Linked DNA regions of Arabidopsis thaliana. The main gene of each other region encodes a partner of the protein of the gene in region 3 in a complex. Each region holds a gene or a part of one and is shown on either strand. Other genes may lie near its edges. The genes, in order: AT5G20170, MED8 and AT3G01435.

Region 1 (3,600 bases), on a different chromosome or scaffold from region 3:
GGCAAGGAATCCTGAACCTTTGAGAAATTATCCTTTCTGAATTTTATATATTGAGTAGATTAATTATCCCTTTCGTATTTTTTGTTTCCTGTGAAAGAAACACAATTATGATGGTTATCTCTCGAGATCAATTGGTTAAAATTGCAGCTCAAAAATGGAAATTACGAAAGAGTATGACAATTATTGGTGAGGTGATTTTTTTGGAATGAAGCTGTTAACGATTTGACTGAGGGAAAACTACAACAAAAAGTAATAAAGAAGGCTTGTTATGTCCAAAAGTAGTACTGTCCAGAAGCGGGGCCCATGGGATATGCCTATCAGAGTGGGCTTCCTGTGACCTCTCACACCACCACGTAGGACCTACGAGCCGAGTGCTCAACGGTGGAGAAAGAGAAGGGTCGTTGTCGTTGAGAAGTCTCCGTCTCTCCAGTTTCATTGTATTTGATTCGCATTTAGTGGGTGTGCTTTGTGCAGCCTCATTTTGGAATAGTGAAATTTGACTATAAACATGCGCAAATGAGCCACAACATATTTCAAACTACTTGGTACGCGGTCAATACAAATTCAACCACAATTTGCTCATTTCCTTGGCATGTAATCGATGTGGATATCACTAACCAGAGTTTTCTAAAAGAAAAACATATTGATCCCTAACATATGCTCCAGTGGAAAATGTAAAAACAAATACTCGAGTGTCATAATATATCTCTTTGTTCAGGTCATGCGAGGCACAATCAAACAGGTCTCGAAGGAGCATACGACTGACCAAAGTAAAAGTGGAGAGATATACAATAATGTTTCATAGGAATTGGAAGAAAACTGCGATTACAAATCTGAAGAATAAAAAGGGAAATGCTGACATCCTAATTTCCTTGTTTGAAGAGAATGGATGCAAGACCAGACCTCCATCCGAAATACGCTGTTGGCATAGGCCTTTTGTGTAAAAGTGATGCCAGTCCGGCTGATACCCCCTGACCAGGCAGCCTCACCAACTCCTGACTAGCAATCGGCTCAGCAAACCTGTTTTACAATCCCAAATAACTTTTTAAGTAAGTTACTCTCAACTCTGCGAAGGAAAACAAGTGCACATGCTTCATGCTTCTGTGTGATGTTCCACTATAATGTATTTTAGTAACTGTTCAACAGACTCTAAATAGATCCTCACTTTTCATTCAATGATTCTATAGGACAAAATTTGGGTAGTAAGTGATTCACAGTAGTCAATATACACTGTATTTAACCCGTCCAAAATCCGAATGAGACACCTAATTACTCAAAAGCGAAAACCAGATACAAGATTCACTTACAAAGGGGAAGGTGTAATTCCTTCATAAGCAAAGGAACTGAACCCTTGTCTTTGCTTGTGCTTAGGATTGGAAGAGCATATAACATACACACGTCCACGACGTTTCACTGTTTTACAAAACTCACACATCTTCTTCACAGATGATCTCACCTTCATTGCTTCTCACTCTGCAATTCACAACCGATCATTAACACAAAACTCATTAGATGAAAATGAAAGAGAACTCTTCAAAGTATTCAACTTTAAGATTCAAAACTAAGGATTGTATCCTCTAAACATATCATTTCTACTTAATCTACCAGAAAAACTGCAATCCTTAGTTGATCCGATGATGGAAGCAAAAGTAAAACGAATCTGAAGCATCCATCTCTAACTACACGGAATCACACAAGAGAAAACCCTATAATAGATCCAGATACGAAATCGAGTGATAATCAACGAGAACCCATCAAGCGAAGAACAAAAAAATACCTGCGAATTCAAAGGCGACTACGAAGAAGAGCAATCGATTCCCAAATGCAAATGAAAGGGTTTTACGGAGGAGTTTTGCACAGTCAGAGTACAACATATTTTGGGCTTTTAATGGGCTTTACCCGTAAAAATGATCCGGAATTTTTTTGACCCGGATTATTAGATCTAAATATCCGATTTGGAGCGTTGAAGCGATTTGGCCGGACTGTGTTACCGTCGACCTAGAAAATCTGAATTTTTGACCGGGAAGATTTTTTTCTGTACGATATGGATAGCGACATGGAAATCTCTCTCGACAGGCTTCCCATTAAACGATTGGAATCTATCGAAGAAAATGGCGCCGAGCGTTTTCCTTCGTAAGTGTTGTCTGGTGTTTGAGAAACGAGACAAAATCTTCCCAGATTGTTTTGCTTCTAAATTATTCCTTTTGTTTTTGACGTGTAGTGATGTTGATTACGATGATAAGAGAGTATCGCTGATTCGGAGAATAGACTTCGCGTGGGCGTTGGAAGAGGAAGATGAGCTGAAGAAGAAGAAGCAGAAGAAAAGCTCCAAGGATAGCGTGGAGCAATGGAAATGGAAGGGAATGGTTGAGAATTTGCAATTGGCTCATCAGGAGCTCACTGTCATCATTGACCTTATCGACACAGTGAGTGACTCTTGTTGATAATAGATAAGAATTTTGGGATATTCATAGCTCTTACAGTGTCTGTTTTATTGGTTTGAATGGAAGGAGCTGAAGTTTGGTTTCTGATATTTGAATAGAGAGTAAAACTTAAACAATTTATCTTCTGATTTTATCTTTGAAGGTCCAAGCAAATGATGCAGTAACAGTTGCTGGGATGACCAGACCTAAGCCGATGCCGAATGAGATTCTCTCGGATCTTGCTGTGTCTACTGCTACCAAGCTGCAGGGCTACCGGGTAATCAGTAGCTTACTTTCTTATGTGCAATTTAACTTTGCTTAAAGATGGAAGGATTCTTGTAATTGTTATTAGTTAGGCACTTTTTAGTATCCTGAGAAACTGTTGGAAACATTAACTTGGTTTCGTAAAGAGCTTTTTAACTATATAATTGTCTTTGGATGGTATGCTTATCTCACTTCTGAATATCTGTTTCCTCTGCAGAATTTAGGAAACTACTTTAAACAATCAGCAAAAGCTTTAGAGCAGAAAATCAATCGTGAAGCAAGGTTTTATGGTGCTCTTATCAGGTTCGAGTACTTGCTTTTCATTTAATGTCAGTGGCTATTTTCCTTAGTACTATTTTGCAACTTTTAAGAATTTGTTGTTTGCATTCTTGATACTAGTTTTAGGTAGCTTACAATGTCATAGCTATTTGTGTTGTGCACAGATAATTAGCGTCCGAATTTTGGATGTAGAGTTATTACGCACGTAGGTTTTGTAATATGTTATGACTTATGACTGATAAACGTGAAAGCATTTTATTATTCTTGTCTAATGTGAAAAAGTTCTAAATTTTGACTTCTACACCGTCTCTGTTACTGAACCTGCATAGTACAGTACTTCAGGAACATCCATTTTGTTGTGTAGTGACTGCTTAAGATTATGCCAACACAAATTAGAGAATTTCCGTTGAAATTGCTCATAATTTGTATAAAATGATAAGCTGACTTCAGCTTCCAAAATAGAGATTGATTTATACGTGCAAATGGTTATTTTTGCTATACTAACAAGCTTATAGGTTGCAGCGGAACTGGAAAGTCAAGCGACAACGCATGCTTGCTTCAAATGCCAGCAATGAGGGCTTCACCATTGATCTTTCTGACAGTTCATTATATGATCCGACTTCTGGTTTTCGCC
Region 2 (11,503 bases), on a different chromosome or scaffold from region 3:
GATAAAGTCCAAATTACTTACACTGGTAAAAATCACATTATCATATTGCTTTCTGAGCAAGTAACATTTGATAAATCATTAGGGAGAATCTTCTAGTTTTTCACCTAATGTCCACATAATTCTCAATACTTTCACATCATCATTAAACCAGGATGACCAATCCGGTTAAGCCAAATATACTCTTGAAACTTTTAATTCTTTTGAAACTTCTAGTTCTTTCAAAACTTTTAATTTACTTTTCATTGCTTATCAGTTACTCCCTTAATAAGATCTTATAATCAAAATTACTTCCATGTATTTTAATAATCAATCATATGCTAATAAAACAATAACGAGATAATAATTAAATTTTTATATTCTAGTATAAACGATATTAAATTTGACTAACTATGTAAGATCTTATATTCACTTCAGAATATGAGTACTACTTATCATCGATAACTCATCTGTTTTCTTAGCCTTTGAAAAACACTCGATTTAAGTTTATAATAGTTCTTTCAAAATTTCTTATTTTTTTTTACCATATTTATTTTCTCAACTTTTGGTGATAATTTAAGTTCTTGAAAAAATTTTGACCATCAAAAATATGATATCTTCTTAAGATACATTAAACTAGTCATTCATGAAAATTTCTATAAGTGATTATACCTTTAAATTAAGTTATTTATCAATCAATTTATTTCATAAAATAATCAAGTATGATATACTAATACAATTTTAATGCAATATTGTAAAACCAATCAGAATAAAACTATTTTGTGCAAAATCTGGATTTTACATATATCTTGACAAAACTTTTATTTAGGCTAATATGAATTCGTGCAAGATTTGGGTAAAATGATTTCGTGCAAAATTAGGGCAAAACCATGAACAATTTTTTTTGTTTTTTTTTTTTTTTTTTTTTTAGATACCACAAAGATTTAGAGAAAAGAATCTTATAAAAAAAAAAATTATCTTGCAACGTTTTTAGTAAAAATAATAATAACACAATCAAATATATGGAAATCTTATAAAAATTTTTAGATAATAATAACACAAAGATTTAGATATATGGAATCTTATAAAAAGAAAAATTATCTTGCAACATTTTTAGTAAAAATAATAATAACACAATCAAATATATGGAAATCAAATATTTAATATGGAAAAGTCAATATCTAAAAGTGATAAGATATGTATAACGTTTTAATCAAAGGAGTTAAATAAGGGATATCATATCAATCATAAATGGATTTTAGACAATATAATATTTATAAAATGATATTGAATATAGATGCAACTATTCAAAACTGGAATGCTAAAACATTAATACATGTTTGCATCACCTACCACCGGGTTATGAATAGTTACAAAATTAGTTATATAATTATAAAATTGGTAATTTATATATTCATTATTGTAATAATAAATCACAAAAATTAACAATTAATAAGCATGATTATCTTCTTTAACGATTTTCTTTGTAGAATCATTGAATCATGCGATAGTAATTATAGAAACAAATGATAAGCATGATTCTCTTCTTTATTGAATCATTGAAAACATGCTTTTACCGATCTATACTATAATCATCGATCGGCTCATATTGTTTTGTTTCAATAATAGAAAATAAATACTATGAACCATGAGTCGATAAGTAAACATGGTTCTTAAAAAAATGTAAGAATCTCTATATCTACCTTTTAGAGCGTCCTGATAACGTGTTATAAACAGAGAAAGAGATAGAAGAAAATGAGTGTGTTATTCCATTGAGGTAAAGGGTTCTTTATATAGGATTACAAGGAAAGGGTAAAACCTTAGAAACATCTAGATGATGAGTTTAGATGATGGGCGTTATAATGAGCATCCATCTTTATTCATAACAAGTTGAGGTTTGTTTTGGGTTTTTTCCCTATAATAAAGCATTTATTTCATATAATATATAGTAAAATATTTATTTTATATAAAATTAATTTAAAGAAAATTATGCATTGAATATTTATATTAAAGAAAATAATATATCAAATCAAAGCCTTTGAGATGATGAGTTCAATTATATCTTTAAAACTTTTGAATACAAATATATGTTATAGTGAAAACGTTTATAACATATGCAAAATCGCACAAATAAATTATATTGTGTATTATTTTAAATTTTATAAATTTATTTTGCATTTTTTGAATGTGCACAATAAATTGTAAAAATAAGCGATTTTGAGTGATTTTTTCGCAAATTCCTAAAAACCAAAGTAAACTAGTTTTTCATATTTGTAACAAAAGCAAACAAAAAATTTAAAAGAAATGGTAACTAAATTTCAAAATTTGATTGAGGTAACTAAACGAGTCGTTGAGCTAAATAAGTACATAAAAAATGAGTATATAAAATTAAGTTGACAAGAAACAAAACAAATTGTCAGAAAATTTAATAGCTTTCGAGTCGCAGTTTTAAAGCTCTCTGTTTAAAGTTCAGAAAACAGGTAAACTTCATAGACACGTCGCTCTCTCGAGTCCCGTGTACAACAGAAACGCGTCTTCGTTTTGTCTCTATAACCCCATCAACGGCGTCGAGATGTTCACGTCGATGCCACGTGTCGAATTCTCAATAAACATGTCAGAACGAAAACAATCCTCCACCGTCCAATCTCTGCTTCACGTTTTTAACCTCATACAATGATACAAGTAAACAAAGTGTACTAGTGTAGTGTGAAAGTACCATACAACTAGAGAAATCTGGTGAGTGTATTAATGTTAAAGAATGGGCCAGGCCTTTGGTACTACAAAATACAGGCATCGGCCCATTACAAGCCCAAATTATTTAAAAGGGGTTATTGAGGATTTTGGTGCCTTTGTTGAGCATTCTGCATCATGTTATTAGGCTGTAGACTCTGCTGATTCGTCTGCATATTTCCATAGCCTCCTTGTTGTTGCTGCTGCTGCTGCTGTTGCGATTGCTGAATTTGTGTTTGCTGTGTTTGCATCATTCCGCTGGTGTTAAACACTGTAAAGATAGGACAAATGAAATAGTCAGGGAATCGATTTTGATGTAAGAAAACATGTTTTAGAAGAGATTTGTTTACTTACTCTGGTCACCCAACATTTGAGACGAATGGCTTCTTTGGGGATTGGTACCCGAAACTCCAAATTGCTGACAACCATAAAAATCCAAAGAGATCATCAGATTAAGACAATGTTCATCGTTCAGATTTGGGAAACATAATGAGTAGAGGAGTTTTTGAGCTAACCTGCATCCTAGGAACAAGTGTCTGAGATTGCATAGATGACATGTTTGGTATCTAGAATTAAAAGAAAAAGTACGTAGAAAATATGATTAGTAATTGTTTCGAATCATCAATTCAAGAGGTTAAAGAGAGGTGACTGACCATTTGGCTACTTGGGGAGCCTTGTGCAGAAGTAAACAATGCACTATTGGCTCCACCTGAAAACTGGTTTAAGTGACGGTTCATCGCTGGATTGAGCTGTCCTTGAGACATGCTATGCTGAATATGTCCACCTGAGAGCTGTCTAGCTTGGAATTGTTGGTGCGCGCCCATTGGCTGGGAATATGGCATTTGATGTTGCCCATGTGACTGAAAAATAAGATAAAACTCACACTTAAAAGACAAAAGCTTGTTTCATAATTTCATTTGATTCTACTGTTTGAAACTACGAACTGTCACAGTTACTTTTATATAAAAGCTTCTGCCAAGTCCCAAGATCTAGGATAACTTTTCAAGAGTATGAATCATTCACTTGGTATATGTAAACTTGTATAAATACGTCTAGTCATCTTCATTTATGGCCATAACTACTGCATAATGATACAAATAATTGACCAAGGTAGTGTCTGATCCTTTTCACTTCACACATCTATCCCCTAACTATGTTGTAGTTCTATTTATCTTACCGTCTGAAACTTTTGCTGAGCTTGCCCATGCATATCATGAAGTGCTGGTATCTGACTCTACACAAAGAATTAGCATGTTGCTCAATAAAGCAGTATGGTAGGAAAAAACAGTCAATTGCTACGTCTGCAAAATGTCAAAGCCTACTTGACCCAATCCCTGCATAGAAGATTGCCTGAGCTGTTGTTGTTGTTGTGCAAGTAGTTGCTGCTGCTGATGTTGAGGCAACTGCATTAATTTTGACCTTTGCTGCTGCTGTTGAAACTGTTGTTGCTGGATTTGATGCTGAGGCGAAGGCACATTAACCATACCCGTAGCGCGAGGAGAATTGGAATATGGTAAGGGAGATGTTGTGTTATCAAAATTAGGACCAGATGGAGATGCAGCTGATCTTCCCACAAATTGAGTCCCGGAAACCTAAAAACACACAAAGACATGAACCTCGAAAGACAATGATACTAACAAAAGTAATAATCATCACAACTAGAGAGAATAAACTAGTTTAACCTGCATCATTCCTTGATTGTTAATGTTGTTTGATTGCCCAGGTAATGCAATCTTACCTAATGAAAGAGAATTTTTGGAGCCATTAACAACGTGAGAATACCATTGGTAGTAGTAACAAAATAAAGAAGATTCAAGCATTGGGTTTACTTCTACCAGACAGATCAATGAAATCGTTACCTGCATCATTGATAATTAGCACATCTGCCAGATGTGGTGGAAGTGCAGTGGTTATCTGTCTCTGGTCTGGAGGCAGTTGTGTTCCTAGAAACAACCATTGTAAAAGAACATGAGAAGGAATTCAGCAAAACAGAAAACTGCAGTTTCGTACACTATCAAATGACTCAATAAATTCTAAAACCCTCTTACCTTTACCGTCATTTACAGCATCTCGTAGCATTTTCTCCTGCTCCTGAATCTTTGCAGCTTGACCTTTATCCATAGTAGGAAGCATAGACGGGCCTTGACGAGTGCCAAATCCGTAAGCTTTACGAGTATCAGCTAATACTCTTTCTGCATTTTCACAAGCTGCTGCAATCATATCCATCCTCGCCTGTAATAACAGATACCATTTCAAAAACCAGCAAACAAATCACAACAAAAATACATTACAAAACTAACCTTAAGCCTTTCGATTTGCATTGGTATAGGCAAACTCTGAACACCTTGAAGCAACTGCTCTCTCTTGGCATTGTCATCAGTTTCCATCTCCGGTAGTAATTTCGAAGACAACATAACCGGTAAAACTGCAGATTCACTGATAAATGCTAAGCTAAACCAGTTCATCACATTCACAATTCATTTAACTCATCAACTAAAACAACTAAAAAAAGACCATACTTGCAGCGTTCATAGCATTGACGTTCTTAGGAAGCACAACAAACGCATTTGAAACTCTCTTTACTTCTTCCACAATGTTAAAAAGCTCGAGATTTACCATCGAATACTGCCCTAGAATATCCTGCCTGTTCAAAACAAAAAGAAAATCAATCCTTGTTACAAAAAATTCATAAACATCAAAATATTATCAAATTCTGGATTCGATGATGATGAACCATTTAGGAGTAGTGTTGGTTCGACCATAAGCGTCGAAATCTTCAAGGATTCGAGCAATGGCTTTGGCCAAGCTAACGGCTCGTGTCTTCAACGACTCCAGATTCAGTTCCTTCTCCAGTTTTGGATTCAGCTTCTCAGCTACCGGAGGAGGAGGTGGTTGCTGCGGCTGTGTCTCCATTGATAACACAGAGCTAATACACAAACCCTAATTCCAAATTTAACGTAATTAGGGGTTTTTAACATCACAGCGAATTGAACAAATTAATTAGGTTTCCGATTTGAAATTGACACAAAAGTTTCGATTAGAAACACACACAAAAGAGAAACTTACGAATTAGAAAACGAGGAATGCGCAAAATCTCGAAGAAGGCTTTGATTTGGAGAAGTTAGTTATTGGAGAAGACGAGAGAGTGTGTTTGAGAAATAGAACCGGGAAATATAATAACATACCGAATCCATAACATATATATGTGTTTCCTCTTTGAAAACTTACAAGGTTGCAACAAATAGACAGAGCGGATAAATCCGTTTGCAGACTAGACCAATATGTCGCTAAGACGGACAAATCTGTTTGCGGAGTAGACCATTATATTTCTAAGACGGACAATAATCCGTTACGGACCAAGTTTTGTTTTTTTGCTTTCAAATAAACTATTTGTTGGTCCGTAATAGAGTTTTGCGTGATTTGTAGATATAACACTTTTTTACTAAATAATTAACCAACTAACACCATAAATTTGTAAATGTAGTAAATAACCTTCAAGGAGAGTAAAAAGACATCACTGTCCTGGTGTTACGCTTCGTCAGCGAAGAAGGAGAATGATTAGTGTGAGCTGACGTGACTTTATTATTGGTGTTGAGGTGAGAAGAGAAATAGGTGGTAGGAGAGAAATTCTCTTTTCTCTTTCTTTTTTCTTTACTCCTTTTCAATTGTAACTCATATTATCTGATCTTAAAAAATTTAATTCAAGTTCATGATATATCTATTAAAAAGTTGTATAGTTTTCTACAAATATCATGACTTAAATTTTTGAAAATAGACACAAAATAATTTAGATGTGAATAGTGTTGTCAATGAATAACATAACGTTCTATATAAATTGACAATATTTTTTGATGGAAGTATACTAAACCCTAAAGGGATAATATATAGGGAACCCAAGGGTTTAAATCTAAAACATTAATGAAATCACTTAACATCTTTAATCAAAACAAACAATTCATTTTAAAACGTATATAGAACAAGGTATACGTAAATAGTATACTATTTACAAAATAGAATAGTATCTCTCAAAATGCAACAACGGAACTCAATTTCATCACCAATACACCAAGCGCAACAACGGAACCCTATTTCATCATCAAGTGCAACAACGAAAGTCAATTCCCTGAACCTAACTTGTGTTCCTCGCTCTGTAATTCGAAACCCCCAAATCAAATATCACCCTAAAGTAATTAAGAGACTCTAATTTGAAATAAAAAACAAGTAACGAGGTAGGTGTAGGAACTTTATTGGGAGGAGAAAGAGAGAGGGGGAGAAAAAAAGAAAGAGAGAGAAAGAGAGAGAGAGAAAAAGATAGAGGGGAGAGAGAAGGGAAGAGAGAGGTAGACGGAAAGAGATAGAGGGGGTAAACTTGGAATTAATATATAAAATATAGAGGATATCATTGCTTTTTTTTTTATGCTAGTTTCTTAATTATATTTTTTTTTGGTTAGTTTTCCAATTCCCCTAGAGTTTTTATATTTTTTCCTATTTACTAAACTGCGGACCAAAATTATGAATAGTGAATAAAAAACGGTCTTTGTACGCAAGTTAGTCCGTCCCATTGTAAACCCACTCAAGGAAATGGTTCTTACAAAGTAAAACTATTTAAGAAGATATTAGTAACTTGTGTGAAAGATACTGTTGGCTTTGTTGATGGTTCTTGGTGATTCAAAATCCTAGAAGAATCATCCAATGTAGTCTCTCTAACCCATAAACATAAGCTTCCTTAGTTCATCCTACATAACTTGTAAACTTTTGTATAAATCACTTAATAAACAAGAGTACTTTGAAGACAAAAACAAAAACAAAAATGTAGTAAACATTGTTTTGTTTGTTTGTTTTACATTGAAAGAATGAAAAAGAATAGATACAGAGGCTAGAGTTTGTGGGAAGGGAAGGAAGAGAGAGTTTCTCATCTTTTGGCTGTCATGGCGTTACTTTGACAGCCCTCCAAAGACACTACTAACTTTTATCGCCGGAGAAATATGGAAAACCTCAAAAAATCTCATCTGACTGAGAAATTATGTATAGAAAAGAATTAAGTGACATCTATTGAAGATATAGAAAAAATAAATGAACACGTATTGTGTGTGGTTTGGTTGCACAATCTACCAGGGATTACCACTGGTTTTTTTCTTCTTGGAACCAATTCAGAAATCGGCAGAGTTTTAGCTTTCTTGCTGTTTCTGAAAAAAAATATTGGTTTGAGTTTCTTCAGTGAGATGTTTTATCATCATTCATCAAATCTCTCTCAGTTCGGCTGCTGCATCTATAAGAAAGAAGAACAAATTGTCAAATCAGTCTACAAAACAAAAACCCATTTAGAATCTCTGAGAAAGTTTTGTTTTGGTTACCTGGGAAAACAAGTATTCGTCGAACATTGAGATTGAGCAAGGCAAGGAGCTGCTGCTAGAACCAAACCTGGTTTGGTTGGTGTTGTCGTTGTAAGCAGAAGAATCAGGTGGTGGTGCTTCAAAGAATCCATTCATATGATACTCTCTCTGATTCATTGGAATATACACCTGAGCATGCGGAAGAGTAAGAGGAAGAGGAGGAGGAGGCAACGTTTGGTGATGATTCATATCATTGTGAAGATTGGGATTGTATGCTGTGATATTATTATTATTAGTGAACTGCTGCTGCGAGCTTGTGTCCTGTTTCAGCTGTCCGGTGTTTAGTTCATCAAGAAAGCTTGTTTCTTGACCCGGAATTGTCATTTCAGGAGATTTCCCTGTTCCAAAGTAGCCTGGATAGCTCCCGAATGAAGAACTCGCTGAGCACTCGACTTCCCTTTTGAGGATAGACAAAGATTTGGTTTTAAGATATGATTCAATATTAAAAGAAAGAAAAGTTCTCTCGGTGAGAGTTTTCACTAACCTCTGCGGGATTGAATTGTGTTCCTCGGTGACAATGTTGGTGGTGTTGCTATTAAGAATCCATGACATAGATTGAAGCTGTTGTTCTAAAGGAATCTGAATCCCATCTTGCATCTGAAAGTTGTACAGCCGGGTTTACAATTTGTTTTGTTACAAATGAGAACTAAAGAAGAGTCATTCGAGTAAATTACCGAGCATGTTGACCAATCCTTAACAAAGTTTGCGTTTTCTATTTGCATTGCCTGTTGCTGCTGCCCAAAATGTTCCTATCAACAGAAGAGTTTTTAGTTTTTTGTTTCGCGGATGAAGTGAAATGGAAAAGTTTTAAACAAAAGATACCTTGTGTGCACGCAATTGATCAAGGGATTGCCTAATCGAAATTTCGAGCTGTCCCAAGTGTTCAACATTGTTAATCTTATCTGGTTCCGTCCAATAACTGCAGAACATGACACTAACAAGTATAAAAAAGAGCACAGACATCAAGAGAACAAAGAACTATCATCCTCAGCAAGATCTTTACCTTAATCTTCCATGTATCTCAGAAATCCGAGCCTGCAGAATCCTTGCTTGAGTACTCAAGTCCTGAAAAAAGGTTGTTTTGTATAAATTTAGGCTTTGGCAAATGTCATAGACGTTAGAAATGGAAAGAGAGTCTTAAAACCAATACCTCTACTGTTGAATTACTGAAACCAAAGAACCAAAAGCAAACAAGAGAGAAGAAAAGAAGTTAATATTCATATAGAGTTTCTTGCAAGAGATTTTGATATAAAACTGTTTCCGGACATACCTTGAGGCTATAAATTCGCGTATATTTACATCGTGATCCAACTTTTGGAAAGTTTTCTTCAAGTTCTGAGCTTTCGAAAGAGAAACATCTAAAATCAGAGATTCTCAAGGATCAAAATTAACCAAAAACTTCATTTGATTATGTGAAAATAAACTTACTTCAAGACTCTCGAACTTCCTGTATTCAAAAAAGATGAAACCAATGAGTAAAACAAGACCAACCATTGCCGGAGAAACAAACAAAAACATATCGATAAGAAAACACCAAACCTTTTCGTTCTTTCCTGCGGTGTTACTTGAGAAAACTTAGCAATCACCTCTTCCATGCTACTGAAGAACAATCATAATACATTCAGATAACACAATCCAAGAGAGACAATGATTATGTTGACAACAAACAAAACAAAGGAAGACACATTAGATAGATTACCTTCGTGTACCGCAACATATTGCAGCCTTGCCAGTAGGAGAGAACATAAGAAGAACAATATCAATGTCACAAAGAATAGATAGCTCATTAGCCTTTTTCAAGATCCCATTTTTCCTTTTAGCAAATGTAGATTGGCGTCCATTTGTGTTCTCTAACTTCTTTATCTTCAATTTTACCCTTCCCATCCTGTTAATCCCCAACTATATATTAAACCAAAATCAAAATCTCTTCTTCTTCTTCTTCACAAAACATCAATAAACTATTCTTCTCTTCAATCCAACACAAAAAATCAAAACTTGAAATGAATCATTAACATAATACGTTTCCAGAATCTGCAATCTATAATACCCAGATCATGAATTTCAATTTCATCACTTTGGGTTTTCAATAAAGATTCAATCTTTTTCTGAAGAAAACAGAGAGATTGTGAAAACCCTTATTAAGAAGAGATAAGGAAAGAGAAGAAGAAAAGGAAACTTACCTAAAGAGGCAAATTCAAACGCCAAGCTGATACTAACCATGAGCGAGATCTTAAAAAGGACCTCTTGAAGAAGAAAGGGAAAAAAAAAAAAAACTTCGAAACGAAGAATCGAAAACCAGAGGTAGAGATAGAGACAGAGAAGATGATTGCGGTTAACAGACTCTGCGCAAAAACCGGTCTTATGATTAAGCCGCTTGAGAATAGGGATCCTCATTGGAAGAAGAAGAACAAGCAGAAACAACTCTCAACCAAAAAACTACGTCGTTTAATCTTTATCTGACCGTTACACCAGAATTACCATTTTACCCTTCTTCCATTGTTTTATCCACACTTTAAAGATTGAAACTTTTTTTTTCTACCTCACCGACGATGATGATAGCAAGGTGTTCTCTTTTTCCGCCGCCGTGTTTCTCCGCCGTGAGGATTAGATGTTTCGCCGGAGAAACTTCAGATACTGGGATTCTATTCCGGGAGAAGCTTATTTACCTTCAAGACCTTAACGTAGATCCTCACAAAGCTCTCCGAGTAAACCCATCTCTCCGTTCTGCTCCAATCTCCTCCGTCGTCTCCGTCGAGACTCTACTCTCTTCCACCGGACTCTCAAGACCCGCCGTTGGTCGTATCCTCGACATGTTTCCAGATTTGTTAACTTCTGATCCTGAATCTGAAATCTTACCAGTTCTTCGCTTCTTATCCAATGAGATTTCAATTTCAGAGCAAGACATACCTAAATCGATCTCTCGTTGTCCTCGATTGCTAATTTCATCTGTAGATTATCAGCTTCGTCCTGCATTAACGTTCCTCAAAACCCTAGGATTCGTGGGTCGCGACACGATTACGTCACGGAACACGGTGTTGCTTGTATCGAATGTGGAACGAACCCTAATCCCCAAAATTGAGTATCTTGAAGAAGGGTTAGGGTTTACAAGAGAAGAAGTAGCGAAGATGGTTGTGAGATCTCCGGCGTTGTTGACTTATAGTGTTGATAACAATTTAGTTCCTAAAGTTGAGTTTTTTATTGAGGAGATGCGTGGAGATGTTAAGGAGCTGAAACGTTTCCCTCAGTATTTTTCGTTTAGCTTGGAGAGGAAGATAAAGCCAAGGCATAGATTGCTTAAGGAACATGGGATTTTGATGCCTTTGTCTGAGATGTTGAAGGTTAGTGATGGTCAGTTTAACCATTGGCTTTTAGAACTTCGTCTTAGGTCTGCTGAAAGAAGATGA
Region 3 (11,503 bases):
AAACCATTGTTTGGCCATCTTGATGTCTTTCTTCTCTTGGGCGTATGCAATCTTTCTTGAAGAAGAGAATTCTCATTCCTGATTTCAGCATCCATACAGCTGTAGTTACCATTAATTGCCAAGCCCAGATAACAAGCAACTTCTTGTATTGAACTAAATGTTTTTCCATTCGGAGCACAATACACTGCACATAACTGATAACCATTTAAAGGTTGTCTGAATTCGACACGCCAGCCATCTTCCAATACTCCATGCCTTTCAGATATGAAATGCCTGAGATTTTGCAGAAACAACTCACTTGGATCCAAGGATGGAAATCTCATGGGCAAACTACTATTGTTCAAGTTTAATGGGAATCCAAAACCTAGATTATGTGAACCCAATGCATCCATACTCATTTTAGTATTACGAGACATTAACCCTGAAGCTTCGAGACTAGCATGTCCTCTACCGAGACTTGAGAAGCTTGAATGCATCATTGCATAATCAAAAGAGTTTCCAATGCAAGAGCTGCTGGCGAGCATATGCTTTCTGGAGAAGAAGAAACAAGCAACCACATGATCCATCAGTGCTTTACAATTTCGGCTATGTGTTTTCTCAGACATACTCATGTTATATAAGGCCAGACAAGTCCAATCAAATAAAGTCTAAACAACTGATTGAAAATATATCGTATGTATAAGTAATTCATAAGAGAAGATCAAAGGCCCCTTAAAAACTCCAACGAACGGTAGCACAGAACGCTCAACTTATACTGAAACTTAAATTCAACAACACCAAATCCTAGTCCAGCTTAATCTTCAATAGTTTATCGCTTTAAAATCGAACACATTACTCGCAATACATGTAAAGACAGCTTAACCAAGTCTTGCAACTATGTTCTCGATCTCAACCCAAATTCAATTCTTATAAAACCCTAACGCATCGTCGAATACCAGAAGCAGGGGAACGTACCTCGAATCAGACGTCTCCTCAGCTCCGTATCCCTCAGCATCACTGGGCGGCGAGGCGTTCATGTCCAGAATGAGCTTGGACTTAACCCCCAACGGCCACAGTTTGCTCCTCTCGCCGCCAGTACGACAGTCGCTGCACATCCAATCGGCGGAAGGAGCCGCCTCAACTCCATCGTTGACACAAGACATATGAAAGCCTCGCTCACAGGCATCGCAGACTACAACGAGCTCTATAGACTCAGGTCTTCCACACGCGCCGCACGAAGCATCCCGATCCGGTTCAGGAACCTCGGCAGGGGCTCCAGGGGCTGGGTCCGGGTTATCGTGAATTGACCTAACAACTTCAACAGGTTCATATTCGCCGTCGTCATCCTGACCAGCGGTGCAACCACCGCCGAGAGTAGCGCCGGTAGGGATTTCGTTGAGATCGATGCCGAGAAAGGAGCGACTCTCTTCCTTGACAGCGGCGGTCTTAGTGTCTCCGAGTTGCTCGTTAGTAGAATCAGTGGGTTCCATTATTCGATTAGGTTAATGGAATCGAGCATTGTTTGCATTGAAGACGAAGAAGAAGAAGAAGAAGATTGAAAACAAAACCAAATTGCGAGAAAAAGAGGTTTTCTTATTAAATTTTTTTCTTTTTTTTTGTCCACTTTTCCCGAAGTTCTGTTTGGAGAGAGAAAACAAAAAAACGTGAATGAATCCTTTTACCCTTTTTTTTTCTTTTTTGTGTGTGCCTTTTCCTAATTCCTATCACTACTACTACTAAACATATTTTCGAAGATGCTGCTACTCACGTAACGCACCAAAAGTTTAACCTAAAAAAAATGTTAATTATTGTATGATGCTAAATTTATGTTAACTTTAGAAAAATTTAAACTTGATTGTACTTGTTATCAAATTTACGGAAGTTTATAAAGTAAGATGTTGCTTTTATATTGATGTTGGTACAACGCGATAAAGATAAGTAGGAACTAGGAAGCAATAGATCTCCTCCGTAGTCAAATATGTGACTCTGTGTCAGAAGAAAAGGTAAAGAATTAAAAAAACCATTGGCATCACGAGGAAAGTAACTCGAGGAAGGTGTAATAAACACGTTAATGATACTACTAATTTTAAAAAAAAATTAATTAAGAATTAAAGCAGTATTCTTCTTCTTCTTCTCCCTTTTAAGTTTTAACAACAAATTTTACTAAGTACTAGTCTAATCAACCGATTAAAAGAGTCGACCAACTTTTGAATAGTGTAACACAAAATCAAAAGTAGGAGGAACACAGCGACAGTTAACAGATTTGTAAACACTTGTCACCTACATCTACCGGCCCAACTTAGCTACAAGTCTGCAACATCTGCGACAAAATATTTTGGAACGTGGTGGATTCGTTTTATCGATCAATGTATGCTTTCCTTGTTAACTATTTCAATGTGCATTTTAACATTATTTGTTCTAGTCATTTCATTTTTGGTTTTCAGTTTGTAACTGATTGATACAAATAGTAGCAATTGGATACGGTGGGTGGCAGCTTTGCAACATGTTTCTTATCTTATATTTTCAAATTTGCACTCCTCATGTGCATCAGTGCATGTAACATGTGATGTACTTTATACGTTCAATTTATTTCGTTTAGTAGAAAATAAAATATTTCCACACCAATCCAAGTTTTTACGTATTAAAAAATATGTATATACCAATTCCATATCTAAATAAAAATAAAAATGCATATCTAGTCCGAGGGTATTTGAGGAATTTACAATAACCAACCAAAGTGTATCAGAGAGAAGGAAAAGAAAAACATTAATTTCGCCCAAGATATGCCGTACAAATGGGTCCCCTCCGTTGGATCCATAAAACGACGTCGGTGTAAACGAGTATGACTACGACGACTCTACTACGAGTTGCGAACTGTTGGCCGGAAATCAATTTCGTCGTCTTCATCGACTCTTTCTCTCCCTGAATTTTCTCTGGCATTTCGAATTTATAGAGGTACGCGAGTCAAATAATCTTCACTATTTACTCTTCAAGTTAGTAGTCATCGATACCGCTTGACTCGCCGCTACTTTTTCTATTCTTCTGCGTTTTCGATCTTTCGCGGTTGCAGTAGTTTACGGCGCCGGAGTTAGATTTCGGACTGCGAGGATTTGTTTGAACTTTTTAGAGTCCTTGAGTGGGATCGAGGTTTTTTGCTTTTGTTTTGAGTAAATTTCGTAATTGTTTGAAATAAGATTTGGGAATGTAGATAGATCTCTGCTCTTTAATGTTATTGCTGTTGAACTCTCATAGTAATGTGTTTATCTTACCATTTCTACTTTGAAAGGGTTTCATTGGGAATACTTAATACTAAGCTAGAGGTCGAAAATTCATCTATAATCTTATCTTTGGTTTTGTAATCGCAGATGCTAAACTTATGTTGTTTGTACTTATAATGGCGTCTTCTTTGTTACTTTTCAGGTACGCATGGCTGCCAAGGCTTTAAAAGATTTGAAGAATCTTCCTGTCTCTGAGAGGAATATCGACTATAAAACAAAGCTTTTGGTTGGCAAAATGAATGGAACAGCTGAAGATAAACCACCACAAAACTCTGTCCCCTTTGATCACAATCATCCTAAAGGCGATGAGATTGAGAAACCTGAGGCAGAGAGAGTTATCGTAGAAATTGAGTATATAGAATCCAAAGACTTGAACAATGTAACCCAAGTTGATGCAGTTCTCAAGGTATCAATTGTTTTTTCCTGCTAGTATCCTATGCTTTACTGTGAATTCTCATTTGTAATGCTGCCTTGCAAATTTGCAATTATATTCATCTGTTTAGAATTTGGACATTGGAAGTAAGTTGTTTACCTAATACCATTCTGGAACTGCTTTCTTTATTATTCCAGTCACTTGTAACCGAGCTAGACTCCAAGGATTGGGTTTTGGTCTGTGATGCTCTTAATACCATTCGTCGTCTTTCCATATTCCACAAGGAAGAAATGCTGCATATGCTGTAAGTCATTTTCTTTCTACTCGTGATTATGATCAGTTTTAGTAGAGCGAGTTACACGTCGAGAGAATTTTCTAGTCTCACGCTGTCAGCTCTTACAGGGAGAAAGTGATCCTGTTTATCGTGAAATCACTGAAGAACCCAAGAAGTGCTGTAAGTAAAACCGCATGTATGACATCTGCTGACATCTTCAGCTCATATAATGACCATACAATCGATCAATTGGATCTCTTGGTAAATCATCTTTTGCAGATACTCTTGGAATTCTCCTCAAATAGCGGACATTTGTGTGTTCTTATAACAGTAACTCCGAATTCCCTTCTTACAGCTTACTCAACTCCTCCTTAAATCTTCCCAAGACAAGCGATTTGTTTGTGAAGCAGCAGAAAAAGCATTAGTAGCAATGACTGCACATGTTTCTCCTGCCTTGCTGTTGCCAAAGCTTCAACCTTTTCTCAAGAATAGGAATCCTCGGATCCGCGCAAAAGCATCCACGTGCTTCTCCCGATGTGTTCCCCGACTGGTAAATCAAACTGCACTCGATATCATAAAACCAGTCTTGTTCTTTTGTTTTGGATTTGTCATGTCATCACCATGACAACCAATTTGGATCCAGTCCATGTTCCCACCAACATCACCTTTCTTTGGCTGTGTAATCATTAGGGCATTGAAGGCATTAGAGAATATGGAATTGAGAAACTAGTCCAAGCAGCATCGTCTCAGCTCAGTGACCAACTCCCAGAATCTCGGGAGGCTGCACGGGCAGTCTTACTGGAACTTCAGACAGTGTACAAGAAAACTACTAATGTCGAACCGAAGGAGGAGCATCCAGAGCCAGTCACTTGGCAAATCTTCTGCCAATCAAACCTCTCACCTCTTAGTGCACAGGCTGTGATACGTGTCACCAATGTCGCAGGTGTGGCTCGAGAGGGTCTTGTTGCGGGTTCATGACAGTCACAAGCCCTCAGTTTGATATTGTAAGCCTCTGTGAGTAAACGTTGTACGACCACTGTTTCTCTATCTTTGGTTTATGGGTTTGTTTCTTTATTTTGTGTGTGAATATGTCGATGTGGTAAGATAAATCTCAACGACTCAACCGTTAGTTTTAGGCAAAAAGTTAGTCGGTTTATTTGATATATATCATGTTTTAGTCTATATTACATTGGTTTTCTTAAAACTTTTTTTTTTTTTGGCCAAATGTTTTCTTAAAACTAAGATTTCAATATTAAACATTTAGTGCATATACTCTTCTTTCTGTATCTTTGATTGAAAAATTAAAATCCAATTCGTTATAAATTTGATCATATTTTGGTCTATACATTACATTTTTTTTTTTTGATTACTAGATCTCAATATTTTTCCGCAAAGATTACAATTTATGACCACAGAGTTATCAACCATGTAGGATCATCAATAGCAAGTAAACCGGTATAAACCGAACCAGGATCATGCCATTCTGGTCATTACCTCTTGAAGAAGAAACTTTGTATCTTTATAACACGATTCCGTCTCTGCTAAGTTCTTCGTCTTAGCTGCATCTTCAAGCTGTGTCGAAACACCAAGAAAACAACAAATAAACATATAGGATATATCAGAAAAGAGAAGAAATTTTAAAAAAACAATAGTCTCTTCGGTTTGAACGAACCAGGACTTCATTAGTACACTTACCTTTTCGAAATTGTCGAACAATCTGTTGGCTAAATCAGTGAGAGGTTGCTTGTCTTCAGAGGCAGCAGCAGAGATGAGATTGTCGAAATCGTAAAACAAAAATGTGGATTTAAGCCTCAAGTACTTTTTCACATAGTTTAAAGTATCTGGTCCGATCAAATCCTCCATTGCCAAGAGATCAAAAGCATTCTTTTTAACTCTATACATTCTTCCTTTCGTCCCGATATCCGCTACATACACTCCTTTCTTTATGAATGTTCTCGTTCCCGTCTTCTCATTCACGATATCTGTATATTCAAATCGAGGACGAATTCAAAACCGGAAATCAAATGATTCTACCAAATCGAATTCTCATCTTGAATAGTTGTATGGCTCAAAATGTTCAAACATTTGAAGAAAGAAAACAATCAAGAATATAAAATGGCGCTTACTGTTGTAAATAGGAGGAATTGGAAGAGGACCATCAATCCAAAACCCATTGTCTTGTGCCAAGGAAACATTATTTTCGCCGAGAATTCCGGTAAGACCTATTGAGACAGCAAATCCTAATGTCATCCGTCTTGTGATCTGTACCGAATCCGGTTCTTGAAATTCTTCAGTTCTCCTGCAAGCAAACCCGCTGGATTTCCCGGTTTTACGACTCTCGGGTAGTTTCGGAAGAGACGGTAAAGTGTTGGTGAGACTGTTGAGGTCTATGAAGTGAGCCATTGCAGTTAGAGAGTAAGCTTTAGGTGTCAGCCTCTGTTCTTGTGTATTGTTTACGGTTTTTATCCGTTATAAATGAGAAAAGCGGCCATCACAAAGATTTTATCTGAACCAAGGGGTGTTTTCGTAATTCAATATTTTAACTACTCGCTGTTCCTGAATTGATAAAGTAGAGTTCGTGCCGTTTTACGTGACAAAAAAAACTTGTATCTTCTTTGCTTTTTCCTTCACCGATCTGTATTGCCGAGTGTCGCCGATTCCCCAAAATCTTCCCTCCGTTGCTGATCATAAGCACGCCGTTTCCAATCGAAATTCTCCGTGTTATTTCATCGTCTCTGCCATCTTCACTGTCTCGCGTCGCCGTGTTCGATTGAGGTACTCCCACTGCTCCGATTTGAGTATTTAGGGTATGTGTATGAGTGGATTTGACGGTATTGTGATATATCTCAGTTTGGAGTTCTCTCTCTCTGGTCTAAAAGAAATCGTGGAGAGTCCAATGGATCCGCAGACGCAGAACACTTCGTTGCAGCGACTCCAGAATGTTGAGAATGTGAAATTTTGGAAAACTCACTCTTTCCTTAGAGATTTTATTGGACGATTTGATGTGAATGTGTTTTTGTGTTTTTATTTTTGGTTTTCCGGGCAGAGAGTTGTTAAGGTTTTGGAACTAGCTGGTGGAGTGATGGAAGAACTCGCGAGCCCTTCTGGTCCCAAGAAAGAGTTCGTCAACAGCCATTGCCGAGAGTTTATGCAATCTATGAAGGTTTCTTACTCTATCTCTTCTTCAAATATTTTCTGATTTCTTTTGCATTAGTGTATTAATAAACTACCTGATCAAAGAACATTGGGGATCACTTGACACAAGTCTAGCTAGATTAGTGTTCTTGCTGACTCAATCTCTCTGGGGAATTGGTATCTTTTCTCGAGTGTTGATCGTTTGGGCTAATTTGACACAAGTCTATATTAGGGTTCATTACATTTCCTGATCAAAGTTAAGGGCTTTGTTTAGAATTTTGATTTTGGTTTTAGTCTTCAAGATGGCCGCTGCTTCTCGTTTTGTGATTCTTCTGTGACTAGTTAACATATGGGTTCATGTATCACAATCTCTAGGTTTGTATTCCTTTCCTGTTTCTTAGGATTTGACATTGATCCTTTATTCTTAGGCTTAAGGTTTATGAGTGATGGATGCTGATATTTTCATATTGGATGGAATCTCACTGTTTAAAGAACATTTGGGCTCTCATTTGACACATGTCTAGATTAGGGATCATTACATTCTGTGAACAAGTAAAAAGCTTTTGATTCTGCTTTTTTTCTAGAGATAATCATAAAGTTTGAAGATATCAGCTTCATTGTCTGGTTCATGAACTTGTTGATCTTTGACTGTACATAAATGTGCTATAATGTTATCGCCAATCCATAATAAGATGAAGTTCTTGTGAAACTTGCAGGATATACAAGTGACACTAAGGGAAGAGATCAAAAGCGCTTGCGAGTACCGTCCCTTTGAGAAATGCGATTACAACGCGAGAATAGCCAATGAGATCTGCTTCCAGAAGCTTGAATATGTTCTCACGCAGCTTGAAGATCTGAAACAAACTGCTGACCGGTATCCTTCTTCTGATTGATATTGGTATTCATAAAAAGGTTACTTGAAGAACTATACTAAACCATCGGTTGTGATATAGTTTCCAGATGAGTTGTAGACTTGTAGGTTATCCCATTAAAGTATGTCCGGTTTTTACGAATGAGTGGCTTGTTGCAAAAGTAAGATATTATCCTACTTACTATATTAGATTTTGCAAAAAGATTAGGTGATTTTGGTTAGAACATTCACTTGCAATGAATCTGTTCCAAGAATATTAGATACATTACATCCACTGGGAGTTATCAATTTCAGCTTATGGAGAAATCGAACCAATTTTGGGCCAGAGAGAAACGGACCAATTTTATTGCGGTTTAATGTATCGATCAATACTTGGAACCAAATGTGCTAACGTCAATTACGTATATGAACCCCTTCATTCATATGTGGTTTAATAAATTAATAGCATCAACAGCTGAAATTCCCGGTTAGATGTGATAAAACCAAAGCGGTTAAAAAGGGTTAATGAGAACCAATATTGCCGGGTTGGCGGTTACGCCGTTTTGTGCTCTTCTGTTTTAGTTACAGCTCAAGAGACGCGTTGATTGGAGAAGGTGATAGAAATCTCTTGGGTAGAGGGAGAAAATTAGGGTTTAGAGTTGGAGATGAGAAGAGGAACGACGATCTAAGGAGACAAAAGAGAGTAGCTAGATCAGGACGAAATTCCATATTTCCTTCGTTTCTGTTTCTCTCTGAGAATGAGTCATCAATCGCCGCCGATCGCTGAAGTTGATGCCACCGACGATATGCACGAGGCGTTGTTCGCGAAGCGAGGTTGTTGTTTCCTCATGCCCTGCCTTGCCTCATCTCAGCCATCAACTCGCGGCGGATCTGTGTGGTGGCAACGGATCACGACCGTCGACAAACTCGAACCCGACGAGCGATGGTGGATCCGAGGGTGGCGGAGGATGAGGGAGTGGTCGGAGCTCGTCGCTGGACCTAGATGGAAGACGTATATCCGCCGGTTCGGACGCAGCAACTGCTGTGGAGGAGGAGGAGGGAGAGTCGGAAACAGCAGCGGAGGATGCGGAGGTGGTGCAATGCCTAACCGGTCATCGGATCAGGGTAAATTCCGGTACGATCAGTTGAGCTACTCGTTAAATTTCGATGACGGAAATCAAACCGGACATTTTGACGACGAGTTCCCGTACCGAGATTACTCGATGAGATTCGCTGCGCCTTCCTTACCGGTTTCCACTAAATGCTCAATTGATTTCGATAGCGACATTGATAACAAGTGAAAGCCACGCGCTCGACTTTTTATGTTGTCGTGTGTGAGACCAAAATGAGATGGCATTTTGTTTCTTCTTCCAATATTTTTTTATAAATTAGTATTGACTATTGAGTATTATTCTGTCATTACCAATGTAATTACAAAGAAAAGCACCTTTCATCCAAGAAAAAATTTAAATATAGAAATAATTAAACAATTTTTTTTTCAAAACTCTAGAAAAAAATAAAAAATTAGGAACATAGGGAGTAAAAATTTTCAAACCATCAGGAATTAGGTTCATAGGATTTGGATTAGGGTAAAGCGTGTAAGAATTAGTGTAACACTAAGATTATCAGGATTTGGATTAGCGAAAATCGTGTAAGAATTAGTGTTCCACAACTACAAGGATCACTCGTTGATCTGTTTTTTTATAGGATCGCTTGTGTAGCCACCTCTTTCTCCTTTTATGGAATTCATGATGATATATGATCAATTTTTCTCTGATTTTTGTAGTTACCCGTAACCATCCATATTTGCGACTCTTTATTTCTTTGTCAAACAAACTACAATCTTATCTTTTCTTTTGAACTTTTTTTCTGCCACGTATGTTTCCTTGTAGTTGATTTGATCTTACCCTATCATGAATTTGGAAAAAGTTTACCTTTTCGAGGGACTCTATATATATTTGGAAATCACTGACATCATCAAGCACTTTCACCACTTTTGTAGATTCGGAGGAGTAGAATTGCTCGAATGTAATTTACCTGTTTCAAGTCTTTGAATTGGATTTTTAGTGGTGCGTTTGGTTGGATCGCGTTAGGCTTAAGGCAGTAGGCTATCATAATTTTTTGGTGGTTGAAAAGTAATGTTGATAGTTCTTGTGATAGATCTAGTGTGCGCGACCATATGGTGTTTACAATTTTTTCATATTAATTAGTCCATGGAAACATGCATGACATGACCGAAACGAACTTTTATATAAAATGACCAATTTATATAAAATGACCATGACAATTGAATCTTAAGTGAAAGAACGAAGCTATTTTAACCCAAACGATCACGTGAAAATTTTATTTAATCCAAGACTTATCTACATCTTAATAGTTGTCATTTGCTGATGTTTCACATTTAGTTATCAAATTGTTACTCTTTGATCTTTTATTTATTGGATCAAATCCAGTTACGTATAATTTGTAAACTCCGACATGATCTTCTTCGAATACAGTTCACATTCCACAGAGAAAAGATCAAACATGTTTGGTATCTACATTATAATAATACGTGACGTCTATTTATAATTTGGTTTTTATTATATAGACGTCATATATAGTTGTCAAGGATATATTAATTATGAACCTGGTTGAATAACCGAAAAGAACCCTAATCCCAAGAGTTTACTTGTATGACTTTTATTATGATGAAATTAAACAATAAATCATAAACCTATAAATTTAGAATTATCAACCAAAACTTAAGTCGTACGTTTGAGTATATAGACGTCATATTAATTATAAACCTGGTTGAATAAACAAAAAGAACCCTAATCTTGAATTACTTGCATATATGACTTTTATTATGATGAAAATCATAAACTTAAGTTTAGAATTCTCAACCAGTTAAGTCGTGTTCGAATATATAGACGCCATAGTTGTCAAGAAAAATATTAATTATAATTTATAAACCTGGTGGAATAAACAAAAAGAATCCTAATTATCGAAGAGTTTACTTTTATTATTTATGATAAAAACAATAAATCATAAACTTCGAGACGATTTAGAATTATCAACCAGTAAAGTCGTGCAAATTAAGCAACCAAACAGTGGTAAAAAAACCTATTGAATATTGTCTGGTCAACCAAACTTCAGGTGTCGAAATTTTTATATATACTATAATTTATTGGTATTAATTAATTTTGAGTAACACGCACGAAAACTAACAGAAATGGTATTATTTTAACATTTCATCCAAGACATTTTGAGATTTGGTCTGTCTAATATAGATATATATTATAAAGACAAATTACTAGTACATACATAGATATCTTTAAGAGCCAAAGATTCGGACGTTTTCTGATATACGTGCAGAGAGAGACTGATTCAATATAAAATGTTCAAATAGTATAAATCAAAGGAGTAGCCGAGTAGGACTAAACTAACTAATCTAACTTGTCTACGGAAACATAAAAAATATTAGATTCTAACACGTACCTGATGATGGCTCTATATATCAAACTTATTTTATTGGATCATTCTTTTTCCTTATTTTGAAGCAAAATGGCAATCTTTTAATCTTTGATTGTGTTCAAGAGCGGACCTTGGGTAAGGGAGGAATGGGTTGGTTA

What was found.
Region 1: AT3G01435 (region 3) and AT5G20170 share a complex: the UniProt entries of both Arabidopsis thaliana proteins name them as parts of the mediator complex.
Region 2: AT3G01435 (region 3) and MED8 share a complex: the UniProt entries of both Arabidopsis thaliana proteins name them as parts of the mediator complex.

The regions. Positions count from the first base shown.
Region 1 is NC_003076.8:6,809,174-6,812,773, reverse strand, and holds the start of AT5G20170 (RNA polymerase II transcription mediator), read left to right. Parts: upstream 1-1,854; 5' UTR 1,855-2,044; coding exon 2,045-2,133; intron 2,134-2,221; coding exon 2,222-2,426; intron 2,427-2,586; coding exon 2,587-2,700; intron 2,701-2,904; coding exon 2,905-2,990; intron 2,991-3,481; coding exon 3,482-3,600. Other genes in the region: AT5G20180 (Ribosomal protein L36), read right to left, coding at 864-1,020, 1,308-1,462. UniProt on the Arabidopsis thaliana protein: Component of the Mediator complex, a coactivator involved in the regulated transcription of nearly all RNA polymerase II-dependent genes.
Region 2 is NC_003071.7:900,094-911,596, reverse strand, and holds MED8 (mediator subunit 8), read right to left. Parts: upstream 6,085-11,503; 5' UTR 5,773-6,084; intron 5,647-5,772; 5' UTR 5,620-5,646; coding exon 5,441-5,619; intron 5,351-5,440; coding exon 5,226-5,350; intron 5,132-5,225; coding exon 5,007-5,131; intron 4,939-5,006; coding exon 4,755-4,938; intron 4,650-4,754; coding exon 4,566-4,649; intron 4,445-4,565; coding exon 4,389-4,444; intron 4,299-4,388; coding exon 4,029-4,298; intron 3,941-4,028; coding exon 3,884-3,940; intron 3,567-3,883; coding exon 3,360-3,566; intron 3,273-3,359; coding exon 3,222-3,272; intron 3,125-3,221; coding exon 3,061-3,124; intron 2,978-3,060; coding exon 2,805-2,977; 3' UTR 2,325-2,804; downstream 1-2,324. Other genes in the region: AGL30 (AGAMOUS-like 30), read right to left, coding at 8,028-8,496, 8,584-8,696, 8,774-8,848, 8,922-9,018, 9,103-9,164, 9,250-9,265, 9,370-9,434, 9,528-9,546 and 2 more; EMB93 (Mitochondrial transcription termination factor family protein), read left to right, coding at 10,649-11,503. UniProt on the Arabidopsis thaliana protein: Component of the Mediator complex, a coactivator involved in the regulated transcription of nearly all RNA polymerase II-dependent genes.
Region 3 is NC_003074.8:163,282-174,784, reverse strand, and holds AT3G01435 (uncharacterized protein), read left to right. Parts: upstream 1-6,496; 5' UTR 6,497-6,679; intron 6,680-6,731; exon of another isoform or gene 6,732-6,754; 5' UTR 6,755-6,800; coding exon 6,801-7,067; intron 7,068-7,755; coding exon 7,756-7,932; 3' UTR 7,933-8,271; downstream 8,272-11,503. Other genes in the region: MBD9 (methyl-CPG-binding domain 9), read right to left, coding at 1-531, 955-1,469; AT3G01450 (ARM repeat superfamily protein), read left to right, coding at 3,406-3,663, 3,828-3,934, 4,033-4,165, 4,260-4,454, 4,595-4,882; PnsL3 (PsbQ-like 1), read right to left, coding at 5,378-5,476, 5,600-5,886, 6,031-6,307; AT3G01430 (NHL domain protein), read left to right, coding at 8,648-9,190. UniProt on the Arabidopsis thaliana protein: Component of the Mediator complex, a coactivator involved in the regulated transcription of nearly all RNA polymerase II-dependent genes.